Linked DNA regions of Caenorhabditis elegans. The protein of the gene in region 1 purifies or fractionates together with the protein of each later gene. This does not show direct contact. Each region holds a gene or a part of one and is shown on either strand. Other genes may lie near its edges.

Region 1 (8,513 bases):
TGGTGTTCCTCGTTCTCTATCATTCTTTTCATCATTTATCTTCAGATTTCTTATTTGAAATATACCTTTTGTCACTTTCTCTTCAGGTTTTTTAAAAATATAGTCGGTTTATGAATTCCAGAAATGACTGGCACAGCTTTATCAGATGTTCATATTCAACAATGGCAGCTTGAAAAGGAGAATAATGAAAAAAGAGTGTACAATCTATGCGAAGTATGCTTCAAGCCCTTCAATTTGGCTAATATAGATATGCATTTAGAAGCGGGGTGTGCTGCGGAAATGTAAGTTGTGGGAATTTTTTAAAGATAATTTTTTAAAAAGATTATCCAAAAAATGGCAATTGAATCGATAATTGTTTTCAAGTAGAGATATTCAATTTCAGTTACAACCGATACAACTTAACACCGATCGACAACAACAATAACTGTCAAAATTCCACCTCTTCACAGCAAAACAACATGACACACAAACCGAAGAAAAGTAAAAAGGTACTCCGTTATTTTGTGAATTTTTTAAACTTCTTTAAAATTTATTTTTAGGTTATTCGAGTGTTGAAAAATAAACGGAAGAAGAAGGCGACATCAAAATAGTTAATAATTGTTTCATTCACAAATTTTTTCTGTACAATCTATTTGTGGTACCTGAACGATCATCAGCGACGGTTTTGAAATAAGATTTTAATAAATTGGTTAGTAGAGTTTTGATTGTTGTGATCAGATTTGGTTTTGAAGTTCGAAGAAAAAATTATACAGCTTACATTTACACATAACTCGCATTTTTGTAAGATATTTGAATTTTAAATACAATTCTATTTATAATTTTCCGGATGTGCGTTGTGCAAACTACCCTATTTCAGGCTGTGGAATGTTGGCTCCTTCAGCTGATACCAGATATAAATTACAAAACAATTTTTTAAATATCGTGTTTCGTTTTGAAATAATTGCTTTAGTATTTTCTTGCGCAAACGATCATGACCAAAAGCTCAATTCTAACAACAAAATTTTTCTTAACAACTAATCAACTAGTCACACGATTTAGATCATTCAACTTCAGACCAATGTCAGAATTTTGAATTTTGTGAATAACAGACCAGTTTGATGGAAAACATAAAAGCAGGCCAATTTTTATGAACTCAATTAGTGTTTCTCACCTAAAAAAGATCACAGAGTAATTTTCTACGACAAAGGAGATTCGCGTTTGTTCTGCCGCAAGTGGGTACTAGTAAATCGCCTGTAACTGGTCTGTAATTTAAAAAACCAAGAGTACAGGCACGTAACACTTCTGTATTTGAAGTAGAGGTGTTTTACATCTGCTCACCCGCGACATACCAAACGCAAAACACCAGTGGACCAAGCACCAAGCTGGAAGACTTTTTAACATCTATATAACAGCTCACGTTTATATCCTTTACTCAAAATTAGACTGATTCATTACGCTGAACTTTGATGTTTTATTAAAACGTATTTTCAGATACTTGTTATCATGTATGAGTAGCTCAAAAATTGGATATGAAAAATATAGAGAGAAAAAAGAGCAAAAGAAAATTGGTCCAATTTGTCTTATTTACATCTTGCAATTCTTAGTTCCAACTCTTTCCACTTTTTGGCGTTGCCCTAGCTTCCAATCATCTATGTGAACCTCTAGACGCTATAAGGCTTCAATTTCGCAATCAGGTCGTTGGTTTACTCTATCTCTGACTTTGTTTTCTGGAGCTAGAGCATGTCGAAATTAAAAGATACGTTTTGGAGAGCAGTAGAAATAGAAAAAATTGGAGAGGAAAAGAGTGTGAGAGAGTCTAGTTTGGCACGCGTGACTAACACTGCTCGTATTTCAAGAGCAATCACCATTTTTTCCGTTTTTCTGTCAGCTTGTCATCGGGACGTGTATGGGTTGCAAGTTTTTGTGAAGAATTGAGAAGACCAAGTTTCATGAAAAATTCTAGTAGAAAATCAAAACAAAAACAAGCTCATCAAAGATGGAAGAGACCGATTCTATTTTTCACATTTCAGACCAGTTTGGTCAGTGATCTCGTAATTCAGAGTTTCAAAAGAACAACATATTTTTCTTGAATATTTCCGAAAAACATCAAAATTGATTCAGAGTTAATTTTTCAGCTGTTTCTAATTGAAACATACTGCTAGATGATTCCTTCAATGAGCCCACGATTTCCATCTTGGATTTTTATTTAATTTTTCTTTTCATTTGCAATTTTTATCTCAATATATAAAAAAAGCGTTCGGTGTATACACAAAATCCAAGATTTACTGAAAATGAGAACTCCGAGTGATGTCATGGACCGACATTTTCCGGGATCCAGCCGCACCGACCGAAAATCTTAAAACGGTAAATGTCGGATCAAGATAATATTCGGAGTTTCGATTTGAACTTAGTTCGGGAAATTTTTCCTAGTAATGGACGTATTCTAAATTTTAGAGTTTGTACGAAACTCCGCAGCAATTTTGTTATTCCGAGGTAATATTGTTCGGTAGAAAATATTCGGGAGTAATTGTTTTTGTTGATACATTGAAAAAGTGAAATAGCTGAAACTATATTTATTGTTCAAAGTGCCTTAAAAAATTGCAAAAACCGGGGTTATTTAATGGCACATATTGAAAATTTCAGGGGAGCGCTAGTTATCTAAAATCTCATAATTTCCGTCTCGTTGCGGTCGAAAATAAGTGCTCATTTTAAAGTTGTCCGCTAAAAAAAGGTGTTGAGAAATTTTCTTAGGATCTCATCATTAAATGTGGGATTTTTAAAGTATTCTGTCTTTTTGAAGATCAAAACAAAAAACTCAAAAATATACTTTTCTGAATTTTTAATATGATTTTTTGAAAATTAGAAAAATCTCAGTTTTCGCTACTTTTTTGGAAGTCGTCGATCTAAAAAAACTTCGAAATGTATGTTTTAATTTTGTTTTCAGTAACAATATCAAAAAACATTTTTGAAAAGTTTTACGAAGATATTTGGTGATTTTGGATCAATAGGAATAGTTTTTAACAACTTCCCCAATGTTGCTACTTGTCCTTTGAACAATAAACCAAGTTTTGCTACTTTAAATTTATCACCCGCTCTTTTGCATGAGATAAAGGATTAAAAATGTATTCAATTCGTATACCAAAAGCATAATCTCTCTCACTCATGATATCTCGAGCGTTTTGTTTCTGGAAAAAACATCAACTTTTTCGTCGGCGTCACGTATTCAGAATGCAAGACGCAATTCAATCGAGTTGTTGTCCTCTCTCTACTGCTGTCGCCGTCTTCTCTCTTTCTTCGGGTCCCAAGTCCACGTTCCGCCTCGTTTTCTCTTTTTTATCCGCTTTTTTCGCAGTATTTCTCATAGTTTTTTTTCGGTTTAGCTTCTCATCGAAATCCTCAATCTTACTATTGTTTGGTTTCCTCGTTTGCGTTTCATGATTTTTTTGTTTTAATAATTGCAAATAATTAATTAAAGATGTTATCTTTTTTGTAGACATCATAATTGCTATGAACGGAGCTGCGTGGTCATTAGAGCTACTGAAAGGATGGATGCTCTCTTAAAAACAAAAAGGACTGCACTTATGGACAGGTTTGTCAGTTTCCATAACAACTTTCAAAAATTAAAAAATCTGAATAATTAAATCACTATGGCATGTTTTTTGTAGTAAAACGATGACTCAATCAATTTTAAAAGAAGCCAAATTCTCCGCAACATCTCAGAATCGACTTGTTAGTCAATTAAGATTTCTCGTTTTTTCCCTCCCCACTTTTCTCTATATACCCTTAGTACCCTAGCATTTTGGACATCGTCCTGAATAGAATCATCTCATTAAATTTGCACTTCCACCATTTCCTTTCAACTGACCACCAAAAAAAATGAGTCGTTGCTGGCGTTCCAATTCGTTTTCTCAAGGCTGTATCCGTGAAAGTTTAAGTGACGACTACATGGATTTTCATTCCTGAAAGCCAGATGGTCATTTCTGTTTTTGCAATTTCACTTTGAAGATGTGTTCTAAATGGAATTCTAAGCTTTTAGTATTTGTAAAAGCTACCTATCCGTGAAAAAATTAAGATTTTGAAAATAAGAACATTGGAAATTTTTGATTCGCTTTTAATTAACATTTGAGTTTTAGTAGGTACCGCAGATTTTGAATTACAATGAAAAATAGCATTTCTTCACTGAATTTCAAAATTAACATTTTTTACGGAAAAGTTAAGTTTATCTCTTTTTTTTCAGTAGTCTTTTTTTAGCAAATTTTTGATAGTAGCTACCTTATAGTTATAATAAAAACAAACATAATGTTAGGCGAAATTTCTTATTTTTCAATTTTTAAAATAAAATTCTATGACAGAAAAAATAACTTTTGAATAGTATTTTTGTTTTCTAGTTTAATAGTTTTGTTGCAAAATTGTAGTTTGTTTTAAAATTAACATTATAATTGCTACCACAGATTTTAAGTTATAAAGAACAACATATTTTTTTGGAATTTTTTGGCTATAGTTTTTCTATATTTCGAATTGAATTTTCTGATGGAAAAAAATGCACGTTTTCTCAAAAGTTTTACAGTAGTTTTGTTGTAAATTTTGAATTTATTCAGAAATTTTATTTCAATTCTTTGTTGATACCTCCATACTCCAATATCTTCTTAAACAGTTTCATTCATTGCGGTTCATTTTCTATAATTTGATACAAAATATCAAAAGGACTCTGCTTCATTTTTAATATGTATTTAACCTTCAACTTTAGGTTTAACTTTAGAAAATCAATGACGGAATTAAAGCAATTTGATTTTTTTTTGAATTGTCTTAAAAATTATCAAAAATTTCTGAAAAAGTATCATTTTTGGCAATTATAGAAGTTTCCCAGTTGCTAGACAGATATGAAAATTAGAATAAACTGTTTCAAAACCAACCAAACATTAAACCATGAAATTCAAAATTTTGAAAACAAAATCAATACCGTTCTAGTATTTTCGCCGTTTTCCATAATCACTTGTGTCTTTTGTTGTATGTATGTAGTTCTGTCATATTTTTTCTCTTTCTCTTTTCTCTTCTCCACCTTTTTTCTCATTTTACCAAATTTTAACACAACACATACGTTTCCAAAAATGAGAAATAAAAATATCATAGCGTCACCAAAGGTCTGATACACTTTTTTTTGCGGGAAAAAACCGATTCTCTTTGAGATGTGTGAACAGTGTGATTCACTAACTCTTCTATGCTAATATTTAACAGCAACGGCTGTCGAACTGTATTTCAGGAGGTCAGTGTTATTTCAATTGAAAGATCGATTGGATTTTTCAACACACACACATAAGTCTGTCACTGGTTGTTTTCCATTTTCAAAGCAAACATAATTTTGTTTGCTTGTTGGTTTTAACTCGAATTATTGACGGAAAACAGATCGATTTTTGACCGAACATTATTCGTAAAGGCAACACTTGATTTTTGAATATCTGAAAAAAAAATCTGGTAAAAGTGATTAATTATCAAAACATTTTTTTTTGCATAAAATCTTCATTTCACTCTCTTAATCCTGTTTTTCACATATGCTCCGTAATCGTCCGGTGTCTTTTCCTTTCATTTTTTCTTCAGTTTCCGTCAAATAAGGAATCTGATTAAAACTTCTGTTTCCCACCAAAAACGGAAGTTTTTTTTTTCAAAATAAGTTACCCACCAAAATGTTAATTTTAAAGAATAAAAAAAGCAAAAGTGGTCAATGATTCCATCGACCTTTAAAGTTTGGATGTAGTTTACAAAATCGGATTTAATATTTTTCGCGGCAAACCAACTTGAATATCCACATTTTGCACAACACAAAAACCTGATTTTATGATTTCCAATCTCCATAACGTATAACCGTGAATCCAAGTATTCATCCTGCGGGAACCACTCAAAAGGTCATCCAAATGGTCATTTTGTTGATCCGTGACACTTCTTCCTTTCCTTTTACTCTTCATCTCTTCTTCTCGGTCGTTCGCATTAGAGAATTTGACACAAGATTTATATTTCTGACGCCTTTTTTTTTTTTAGATAATTTCGGGGTCAAGCAGGTGTTTTAAAAAGTGTTTTGTTTACGTTTCTTTTTGGATATGCTCTCATAAAAATAGATTTGTTATTTTGACGTCAGACGATAATATGAAAATGTTTACTGCATAAAAATTATATGTAGAGCGATCATATAGCAATAAAATGAGTCATAAGTATTTTAAAATTGCGAAATGAACATAATTGCTTCATGATTTAAACGTTTATAATTACTGTATATTTTTTGTGGTATTGTACAAGGTTTTAAAACATTTATGTTTTTTTGAAGAGGAGTACGATTAGTAGGAATGTATTTAAAACTATTTCTAGGATCCTCACATAAATATATATCAAAACAAAAAAGTTCAAAAATTTCAGATTTTTTTTTGGATTAAAAAAGCAGAGAAAACTAGGTTTTCGGTTTATTTTAAAAATCGTCGACCACAAAACATTTTTTTAAATTCCAGGTTATGTTTTAATTATGCCACAAATTATCTTATTTTATCATTTCAAAAGCTTAAAATTTCTCGAAAAGTGGTGTAATTTCGGTTTTCATCACATCTTGCATCAAAATATTAACATTTTCAAAATAAGTTGAAACGTTTTTTTTCAAATATTTTGTCGTTATAGCAGAAGAAAAATAAAGTTCAATCATTCTCCCACTGGCCATACCCCACCTTAAATAGGGAAGCAATTCTGAAATACAGACGATGAATTTACGGTGTGCTGTTTCATAGAGAAGTAAATATAGCAATCTCTAAAATAATTTTAAAAAATTTTGTTTTTTTTTAAATAATCTACCCAATAACACCGTTAAATTTACATATCAATAATTTTTCCATCGATCCGGTGAAACCACTGTCTTAAAGGTGGGGTACCGAAATTTGAGACTTTGCTTTTTTTGACCCAAAATGGTCCAAAACTACCGAATTTGGTAATGAGACGTTCCGAAAATTTTTCAACAAAAAGTTAACGCAAATATGACACAATTTTCCGTCCCCATTGGCCCAAAAAGCGTCTCAATAAACGGAACAACACGTAATAAAATGCCAAAATATGCTTTAAAGGATGATAATCAAATAAAAATTAAGTTCCAACCTTTTCTCGGTATCAACTATCAATTTCAGCCCAAGTTTAGCTGTGTGGTATGCTACACCAGACTACGCTCTAGTTTCTAGTTTTTTGTCAAACGATTGCATCTTTTTTCAACTTTGATAAAACCATATTCAAAAAAAATGAGAAAAAAATATACCTACCAAAAATTTCGAAAAACTATCATAGAGTCTCGTTCACAAATTTTGAACACCTCGTGGTTTCCGCAAAAAAACTAATGTTTGCTAAGAACTTGTTAAACGAAATGTCAAGATAATGTTGATCTCTAATTGTAAGATGCAACATTTGGCAGGACTCGAAGTTGTTTGAAGTAGCAATTCGGTAGCAAATGTAACACATCGTTTTCTCCATTTTGGGTTTTTTGATTAAAGTTTTTTGAAAAACTGAAAATTCAAGGTGAAAATATGAGTTTTTCAATAAAAAAAAATTCTCTCAAATTTAAGTAGTTAACAATGTATTAACTGCACACTGGACTAAATCGTATTACGTTAAAACTGAAAATGCCATAATTAAAATCTATGATATTTTTTTCTTACCTATTAAATTCAACAATGTTTTAATTTAAAGTTGTTTATATCTATTAACGTGAAGTTTAGCAAACAAAATCTGTGTGAACTAGTTCCATAGACAGCTTGAAAGTTCTGTTAAATTTCGAATCCTTGACTCCATCCCCCCTCGTTCCGGCTTCTCACCTCGCTCTTTCCCCCCGCAGTCAGTCGGCATTGCTCTATTTGCTCAACTGATTAACAGTGCTCCCGTCTATCTCTTAGGAGCTACACAGATTCGGCAACTTTTTCCCCTTTCAACTTGTTACTCTCACTCAATCAAACAACATCCTGCTAACAACTGACCATTTAATCCCGTTTCTCACTCTCACTGGACCAAACCGTTGCCGATCGGAGGAAAGCCGTCGTTTTCACACCAGGTCACAAGTACGGCGGCACGACAGTGTTTATCTTGGCTAAATCATAAGAAGAATTGACCGTCTCGTCGTTTCGGGTTCTTTTGACAGTGATTGAACGTTTTTGCCTACACACCTAAGAAATTTTACAACCCGTGAACTGCCTTAAGCGCCGTATTTTCATCAATTCTATTTTTTTTTGTTTTTCGATTATCATTTTCAAAAAATGCATGACATAGTTCGTTAAAAAACAACAAAACTCAAAGTTTCATAATCTATTGCATTTCATTTTTTCAATTTTTTTTTCATTTTTTCAAATTCATGGTGGTTAAATTTTTTCCCACAACAATTATCTTTATCCTAACTTTTTTCTAGCAAGCTGTTTTTGCTGACTTTTAATGTTTTTAGACATTCTGGAAGCTTTTTTAGAAAATTAGTTTATTCAGAAAGCAAAATCTGGAAAATGTTGTATTGAGTTGGGTGAAAAATCTTC
Region 2 (7,446 bases), on another chromosome or scaffold:
GCGTGTGTTCGCCAACATAAAATTTACCGCACTGAAGCTACTTACTGTTTGTAGCCGACACCTCACGGGTTTCGGTTTTCACCGACCCCATCAAATCTGTAACATGCCAAAGCAGCCGACACTTTACGGATTCCATTTTTGTAGCGCAATCTAATCTAGCCAGCAGCCGAATTCCCACGGACTTTGCCATCCTATCTCAAAAGCACCTATATATTTGCAACCGACACTTTACGAGACGCCTAAACCCCTAAATTGTCGGCTGCGGATACTGCAAAACATTACAAATTGTTTCATTGACGCCATAATTCGGCTAAAATTACGTTCACTTCCAATTTGTATCACTCATTTTCATTTTTTTCATCTTCTCCTATTTTCTCTTTCAACGTCTTTTTCTGGCACCACCACCAGCAACGACACATAATCCAATTCTCTCCCCCATCGATCCCCGACATTATACATCCGCAAACCGTAATTACAAACATACTTCTGTGTCCTTTTCTGTCTGTTCAAATTCTGCCGAAATTCTGCTAATCGCGGCGCGGGACGGCCGGTTTGACATGACCCCCCTCAGGTTAAGCCCGATTTTTACATTCGATCGGTAGCTACATGGCTGGAGATCACCAATTTTTCTAGTTTCCATGAGATTTTTTTTAGTAGAAAAAACACTAGTTTTTGAAGTTGAAATGTGCATGTTTATAGTTTTATTTTTATTTTTAATTTAATTTTTTATGTCATGCGGTATCACTATTAAATACCAAATTTTTAGATTTTCCTTTGAGATATGTACAAACGTGCACCCATAGAAATGTGAGATATAATTTCCGGTTTTTTTCATATTTAGTTTGATCTGCCACAACATGCCAAATAAATTTCAAATATCTTATCAGATGCCAATTGGGTGGTGAGTGGCTATTGGAAATCAAGAATATCTCAGCGAATATTTGTGATATCTGAAAATTGTTAACTAACGAATTGTTTGAAATGTAATTTGCTACATTTTGTCAGTTTTGTGTTGTTTTGTTAACAGTTTTTTGATACCTCTAATGGCTGTAGAGATAGAAAAAGATGAAAATTGTTAATTGAAATGTTTTATTTCGAATTACTACTGCCATTCATACTCCGTACTGTTTACAGATTGTTCAAACAAACATTTAAGTTCTCACTCACTTGTTCAAAATTATTTCTTGTTCTCATCCTCTTCCTCCAAAAAATTGCTTATCACTGATTGGGTGTGGTTTGCCTAGAGGTGTCATTATCACCTCCAAGACAGTAGGATTAGCAAACAAAAAAAATTCTAAACTTATACAAATTTTGGTCTAAAAATAAATCTTGAAATTGAGCTGATTGGTCTTTGAGCAGAATTATGGAGTATAAAGTTTTTTGAAAGCAGCCGACATTGCGCGAGGTCGGCAAAGTACAGTGAGGTGTCGGCTGCTTTTTTTTACTACTAGGGAAACCTTCGCTGCACCCACTCGTAAATTGTAGGTCGCTTTTTCTTCCCACAACCCCGCTCCAAAAAAAAATTCCACAAGACCCCAAAAATTAGTTTTTCTAGTCACACACACACACACTTTCTGCAAGCTTTATGCCATCCTATCTCTAGCCTACATTATCTCTTGTTTATCAAGTTTTTGCGTCTTTTCCCTCGTATCCGATCAGACATGCCAATATCCACATACTGATAACACCCTGGAAGGTTCTTTGTCATCACTTCCCGACGGTGATAACAATATTCGTCATCATTTTTGTTGGCAGAAGAATTTTTAATTACTACATGTCTAGTTAGAATGAAGCAGCCGACTCTCCAAGATCCCTAAATGATCAGTAGGCAAAAGCAGCAGACACTTCGCGGGACTCAAAATGACTTGTCGAGCTAGACAGCCGACACTTTACGGGGCCGAAGTTTACTCATAGTAAGAAGCAGCCGACACTCCACGGGCCCTTAATAGCAGAAGCAGCCGACATCTAACTGTTCACACAACAGTCGGTGAATGTTGAATCAGAGAGTTAGTAGCCGACATCTGGCGGTCGTCGAAGGACGATAATTCGGAGGGATTGTGGCGGACATCTCACGGGTCCCAAAATTTTATATTTGGAGTGGCGGACGTCTGAGTGGAAACCCATTTGCAACTGTAAAATCAATGAAGGATATCTAATTATTTAATTTCCAATTTCTCCTCGAGAAAGCGAGAGTCATAAATAAAAATGCTTATAATATATATCTGGGGGTGGAAGTGATCATTTGTTGAAAATCGAACGTCGGGTGAAGAAGAGATAGGTTCACACACACACACCCAGGAGGCAACAACGAGGCGAACGATAAAGCCACCGGAGACGCAGACGGTCTTCGGATCTGGTTCGGCGTGTTGAGAGGGGGCATCAGCCGGTTCCTCTGAGGAGGGGGAAGAGGGGAGACGAAGAAGAAGATACCCCCGTCCGGTGAAGCTTATTATCCGACAGGCAGACGATTGTTGCTTTGACTTCTTCTTCATTGCCCACTTTTGAACACTTTTCAACAGGTCTCTCAAGATTTTTGGCAACTTTTTTTGCGACTTTATAGGGAGATTATCGGCTGGAGATTATGCAACATTCATAACTTTTAGTAGATCAATGATTATTGTGTAGAATTGGCTTCTTTTTCCTTGCTTAAAAAAAAATTAAAAATCCCCGAACAATTTCCAGCATTTTTTCATTTGAAAACTTCTTTCTAGACCTTACTGTTCCTGAGATACAAGCCTTTTTAGTCCAATGGGCTAGAGAGTGTGGAGAGGAGAGAGACGCAGGGCGCCTCGTCGTCGGCGTCTCCCCTCCCTTCACACTCTCTAGCTTTGCTCTCGCTAAACTGTGTGTAACTTTTTAACTGTAAAAGATACAAAAAAGTGGCAAGAGGCAAAAATGATCAGCATAAAATTTTCTATAAGCTGAAATCAAAATCTTTGGAAAATTCCAAAAAAAAAACTACTACAGCTGTCAGTTTTCAGCCTTAATTTATTACAGTGTACCTACTACAACTACATTTCCCTTGAATTTCCTCCAAAACTTTACAAAACGTTACAAAACCAAGCGAGTTTGTTTCTTAAGCATTTGCATAAGTGGTTTACAGTCCTCAGAAACATAGACACTTTGTTTATTCTCCCCTCCCCCCCCCCCATTCAAAATGAAAGCTTCTAGAATTTTCTCGTAGTTTACTTGGTAATGTATGCATGTGTAAACTGTAACTGTATATAATTGTATATATATAGAGACGTCTGAAACTCACAAAAACCACTTGAATAGCATTCTTGTGTGACTTGTGGCTTTTGGTGAATCTCGGCGAGAGTCACACACTTTTTATTCATTCACTATTTCCGTAAGGCTGACATGCCTAAGTGCCTGCCTACCGCCTATTTTTTGATATTTTCTCCGTATAAATTATTTTTAATTGTATTGAATTTCAAAATCAACAATTTCAAGCATTTTAAGATTTTCAAAACTGTCGAAGTCTAACTTTTCGAAAATTTCCAAAATATTGGAAAAAAATTATTTTTGGCAATAGGTAGTTTGTAGTTTGTAGTTTGTAGCTTGTAGTTTGTAGTCCGTAGTTTTAGCAGGTAGTTTGAAAGTATGCAGCTTTTTTTTGTTTAAAGTTTTGTATTCGTATACTTAAATACTTGTTAGAAATGTTCAATAGAAATTGTTCAAAAATATACATAGTTTGTGGTCATTGTAGTTTGTAGTTTGTAGTTTGAAGTTTTAATTTTTATTTACCTGTTTTCGGTCAAATATTCTTTTAACAATTTCCAGTTTTCTCAGTTTTCTAAAGAAACTGTTATAAAAAATCCTAAGCCGCTCTTCAAAATTTTTGTTTTTTTTTGCCGTTTTTGTGGAATCATACCTCTAAAATTTCAAATTTCATTACAGAATGCATCCCAAACTGGACCCTATCCTAATTCTCTTCCCATTCTTCTTCATCTCCTCCATAGTCGCACAATTCACATCGCAAACCTACCCAGATCCTCGATTAGATCCATTTTCATGTCGGTTGGCACTTCCATCGCAAGTCTGTGATCCGTCGGCTATCGTTTCCGATGAGGAGAGAAGTCGATTGGTGCAGAGGGTTAATCAATTGCATTCGTTGACTTCTGGAATTAAGAATACTTCTCCGTCATGTGCATTGATGCCTGATAGGAATTTGGAGGTGAGTTACTGAGTTGGACAATGTTGAAGTTGGTAGAAATGCGCCAGAAAGTCAACAGTTTCCGAAAATTTTTAATCCGGTTTAAGCCTAGACCTAGGCTTAGGCTTAGGCTTAGGCTTAACCGTAGACTTAGGTTTAGGCTCCGGCTTAGGTTCAGGCTTAGCCTTAGGCCTAGGCTTAGGCTTAGGCTTAGGCCGGGCAGAGCAGAAAAAGATTTAAAAAACGAAAAATGAAACAGTCCAAAGCCTGGCCAAATTTTTTTTTCGAACTTGCGTCAGAAAGATTCCAACCTTTGGCAGAAGCTTGCCAAGCTAAATCACTTATTTTTCAGATAATTGTCGCGATAATCGACAAAATCGGAAGTGTACCAGGTGTTCCAGTTGACATTGAAAAATTCGCCAATAACTTGAAAAGAAGATACCAAAACTTCCAGGTATGTCTTCTGAAACTGCTTTTAATTCTTAAATGTTCCTGTATATAATTTCAAATTTCAGGACGTTGGAATGTGCGACACTACAGTGCTCATCGTGAATTCTAGACAAGATCGTCAAGTGTTCACAGTTGCTGGTAGAGATGCCAAGATCTCGAAGGACACGTTGAAATCTGCATTTGAACGGAATATTGGGCATTTCAAGACAGGAAGATATGCACTTGGGCTGGAAGGAATGATTGAGGTCATTGTGGCAGCTTACTCGAATGCTCATATTGTGCAGGTCCCGACTCCAACTGAGTTTAGACCGACTGAGTGAGTTTTGGGGTTTTTTTGATTAGCGGCCCGCCAGGTGTCGGTTGCTATCTTTAGGAACCAGTCGACACATGAAAAACTGAGAAAGCCGCGGACATCTCACGGGCTTGAAAATAGTCTGAAACTGGCTTTTAGTAGACCTTGTAACAAAGGTGCAGCCGACATTCGGCAGGCTACTAAAAACACAGCTGATAGATTATGGGGTGCTCAGATAATTGCTGCAGCCGACAGCTCACGGGAATTAGTCGAAGCTGCAGCCAACACTTTCCTGGTCCTCTTTTTCAAAACTTACGATCAAACTTCCAGATTCATGCCAAACCCACCTGCGGTCTCTGCTGTTGAATCCCAACCATTCCGGGCCGCTGGTCTCCCGAACAGTGTGCAACAGGCAAAACGCCCATTCCCAGCTTTCAACACGATTCATGAGAGCATTGATGAAGATGATAAGGTAAATTTTGACAGAAGATTTCTATTTTTAGCCTAATTTTTTGAATATATTTAGGTCTGGGTATCAATCCTTCAGCAGGCCATGGCCCGATGTGGACAGAACGATGCAGATCTTCCAAAACATGTCAGAGCAGTTGTTGAAGGTTCGTTCAAGCTTTTTTAATAAAATTTTATATTAAAATTTTATATTTAGAAGCCATGAGTATCTCCTTGAAGCTGATTTCCGACTCACGTTACAACAAGATCGAGGAGGAGACCGAGAAGAACAAGGAAGTACTTGGAAACCGACAAAAGTGAGTTTTTTTCCAGACCCGTTAGGTGTCGGCCGCTGAACAGCCTAGCAAAAATACGAATTATTTTCAGAGCCTGGGACGGAGCCACCAACGACTTCATCCGCCCACTCTTCCAGAAGTACCGCAACTCGATCCTTTCCGGAGCATCACAAACCTGCCCGGTTAGCGCCGCGGGCACCAGAAAACGAAGACATTTCTAAATTTTGTATATTTTCTCTAACAATTTTCCACGACGGGTCACACATATCCTCTTAATTCCATTTTCAATTTTTCGATGAAAAAAAATCAATAAAAAATCCACGTCATTCCACGTTTTTGTTGTTATTTACACTTGCTCACAAAACAAAAACAACACTTTTTTCAATCATCGTTTAATTTCGTTTCCCATCTCGTCATGCTACGTCTCGAAGAGGTAAGTTAATTTTCAGTCGGTATTTGTTGGCTGCTTGAGTCATGCTTAGTCCCACGAGTTGTCGGCTGCTATTTTTGGGAAATTCTCAATTTCATAATACAAATCTTTTTTCACATTAAAATTGTTTTTTTTCTTTGCTAAAAATAATTCGGGTCCATAATGTCCCATAAAGTGTCGGCTGCTCGAGTCGGTTGCAAGTTTTAGGCGGTCTCAAGATGATTTCAGTTTAAATTTTAAACTCGCGAGGTGTCGGCTGCCAAACTAATCGGGGCTTTGCCAAAACTTATAGCATCTTCTTTGGAACCCATCAGATGTCTGGTTTTAAAAATCAATAATTTCCAGGACGAACCTTCCCCCGGAATCTGTGACCAGCTCCATGAGATCGTCCGCTCCATTGGCCTTCTATGCTACGTCGCATGCCCACCCATCCCATCGGAAATCATCCGGAAATTGGCATTCCACCCGCCAGACAAAGGAGCCACCTATCGGATCGAGCTGAAATCTGATCCGGAGAAGGATCTGGAAAGTGTTCGTGATTGTCATGACGAGCCTGTTCAGCTGGTGGTTAGGGATCGTGTGCATCCTGAGGTGAAAGTGTTCTCGGTTACAACATCTGAAGACAGTCATCTTGTGTGTGTTAAGTGCTCCCCGAATTGCTATTCCAAGAATCCAGAGGTCGCGAATCAGGTTAGTCATAACCTGCAGAGATAATGTCGGCCACAATTTTAAAAATTACCATAAATCGTCGGTTGCTTCCAGGTCGTACTCTTCTGCCAATCCAGCTCTGCCGATCTTGGAAGCTTCCTTCAGCCCAACTCCATGAACTTTTCCACGTTTGCTAACTTGTTCGAAACGGATGTATACGCCTTCGACTATTCAGGGTAAGAGTGCAATCGCGCTCTATGAATAATCATTGTTCGTTTTCTAGATACGGCTTTTCCTCGGGCACCCAGAGCGAGAAGAACATGTACGCCGATGTGAGAGCGGTATATGAACATATTTTGAAGACCAGACCGGATAAGAAGGTAGCTAGGATCAGGAATGTCCGAGATTATTAGAGAAAGATAATTTCAGATTGTAGTAATTGGATACAGTATCGGAACGACTGCAGCGGTAGACTTGGCAGCTTCAAATCCGGATAGACTAGTTGGAGTTGTGCTGATTGCTCCGTTGACCAGTGCACTGAGGATGTTCTGCAACAATCCTGACAAGGAAACGACTTGGTGGGGAGACTCTTTTCTCAGGTAGACCTGTTATGTGTCCGCTGCTAGTACTAGAACGGATAAAGCCGTTATTTAGATGTCAACTGCAAATACTGCCAAGTTAAAACCGTCAGGAATCTTCTGCTAGTTATCTCTAGTTTTAAGTCGTG

What was found. The genes of interacting proteins can lie anywhere in the genome.
Region 2: the proteins of ncr-1 (region 1) and F01D5.6 fractionate together in Caenorhabditis elegans (co-fractionation; one large-scale study listed by BioGRID). This does not show direct contact.

The regions. Positions count from the first base shown.
Region 1 is NC_003284.9:4,483,815-4,492,327, reverse strand, and holds the start of ncr-1 (NPC intracellular cholesterol transporter 1 homolog 1), read left to right. Parts: upstream 1-3,470; 5' UTR 3,471-3,568; intron 3,569-5,163; exon of another isoform or gene 5,164-5,213; intron 5,214-8,043; exon of another isoform or gene 8,044-8,145; intron 8,146-8,513. Other genes in the region: F46H6.5 (uncharacterized protein), read left to right, coding at 124-281, 383-488, 540-590. UniProt on the Caenorhabditis elegans protein: Involved in the uptake or utilization of cholesterol. Ncr-1 and ncr-2 act redundantly to prevent dauer larva formation under favorable growth conditions, and are required for the normal functioning of ADF, ASI and ASG neurons.
Region 2 is NC_003280.10:14,002,610-14,010,055, forward strand, and holds F01D5.6 (TPM domain-containing protein), read left to right. Parts: upstream 1-3,900; 5' UTR 3,901-3,901; coding exon 3,902-4,177; intron 4,178-4,508; coding exon 4,509-4,610; intron 4,611-4,671; coding exon 4,672-4,922; intron 4,923-5,120; exon of another isoform or gene 5,121-5,226; intron 5,227-5,228; coding exon 5,229-5,370; intron 5,371-5,424; coding exon 5,425-5,512; intron 5,513-5,562; coding exon 5,563-5,662; intron 5,663-5,732; coding exon 5,733-5,862; 3' UTR 5,863-5,979; downstream 5,980-7,446. Other genes in the region: F01D5.7 (Serine aminopeptidase S33 domain-containing protein), read left to right, coding at 6,057-6,074, 6,417-6,761, 6,834-6,955, 7,003-7,099, 7,149-7,318.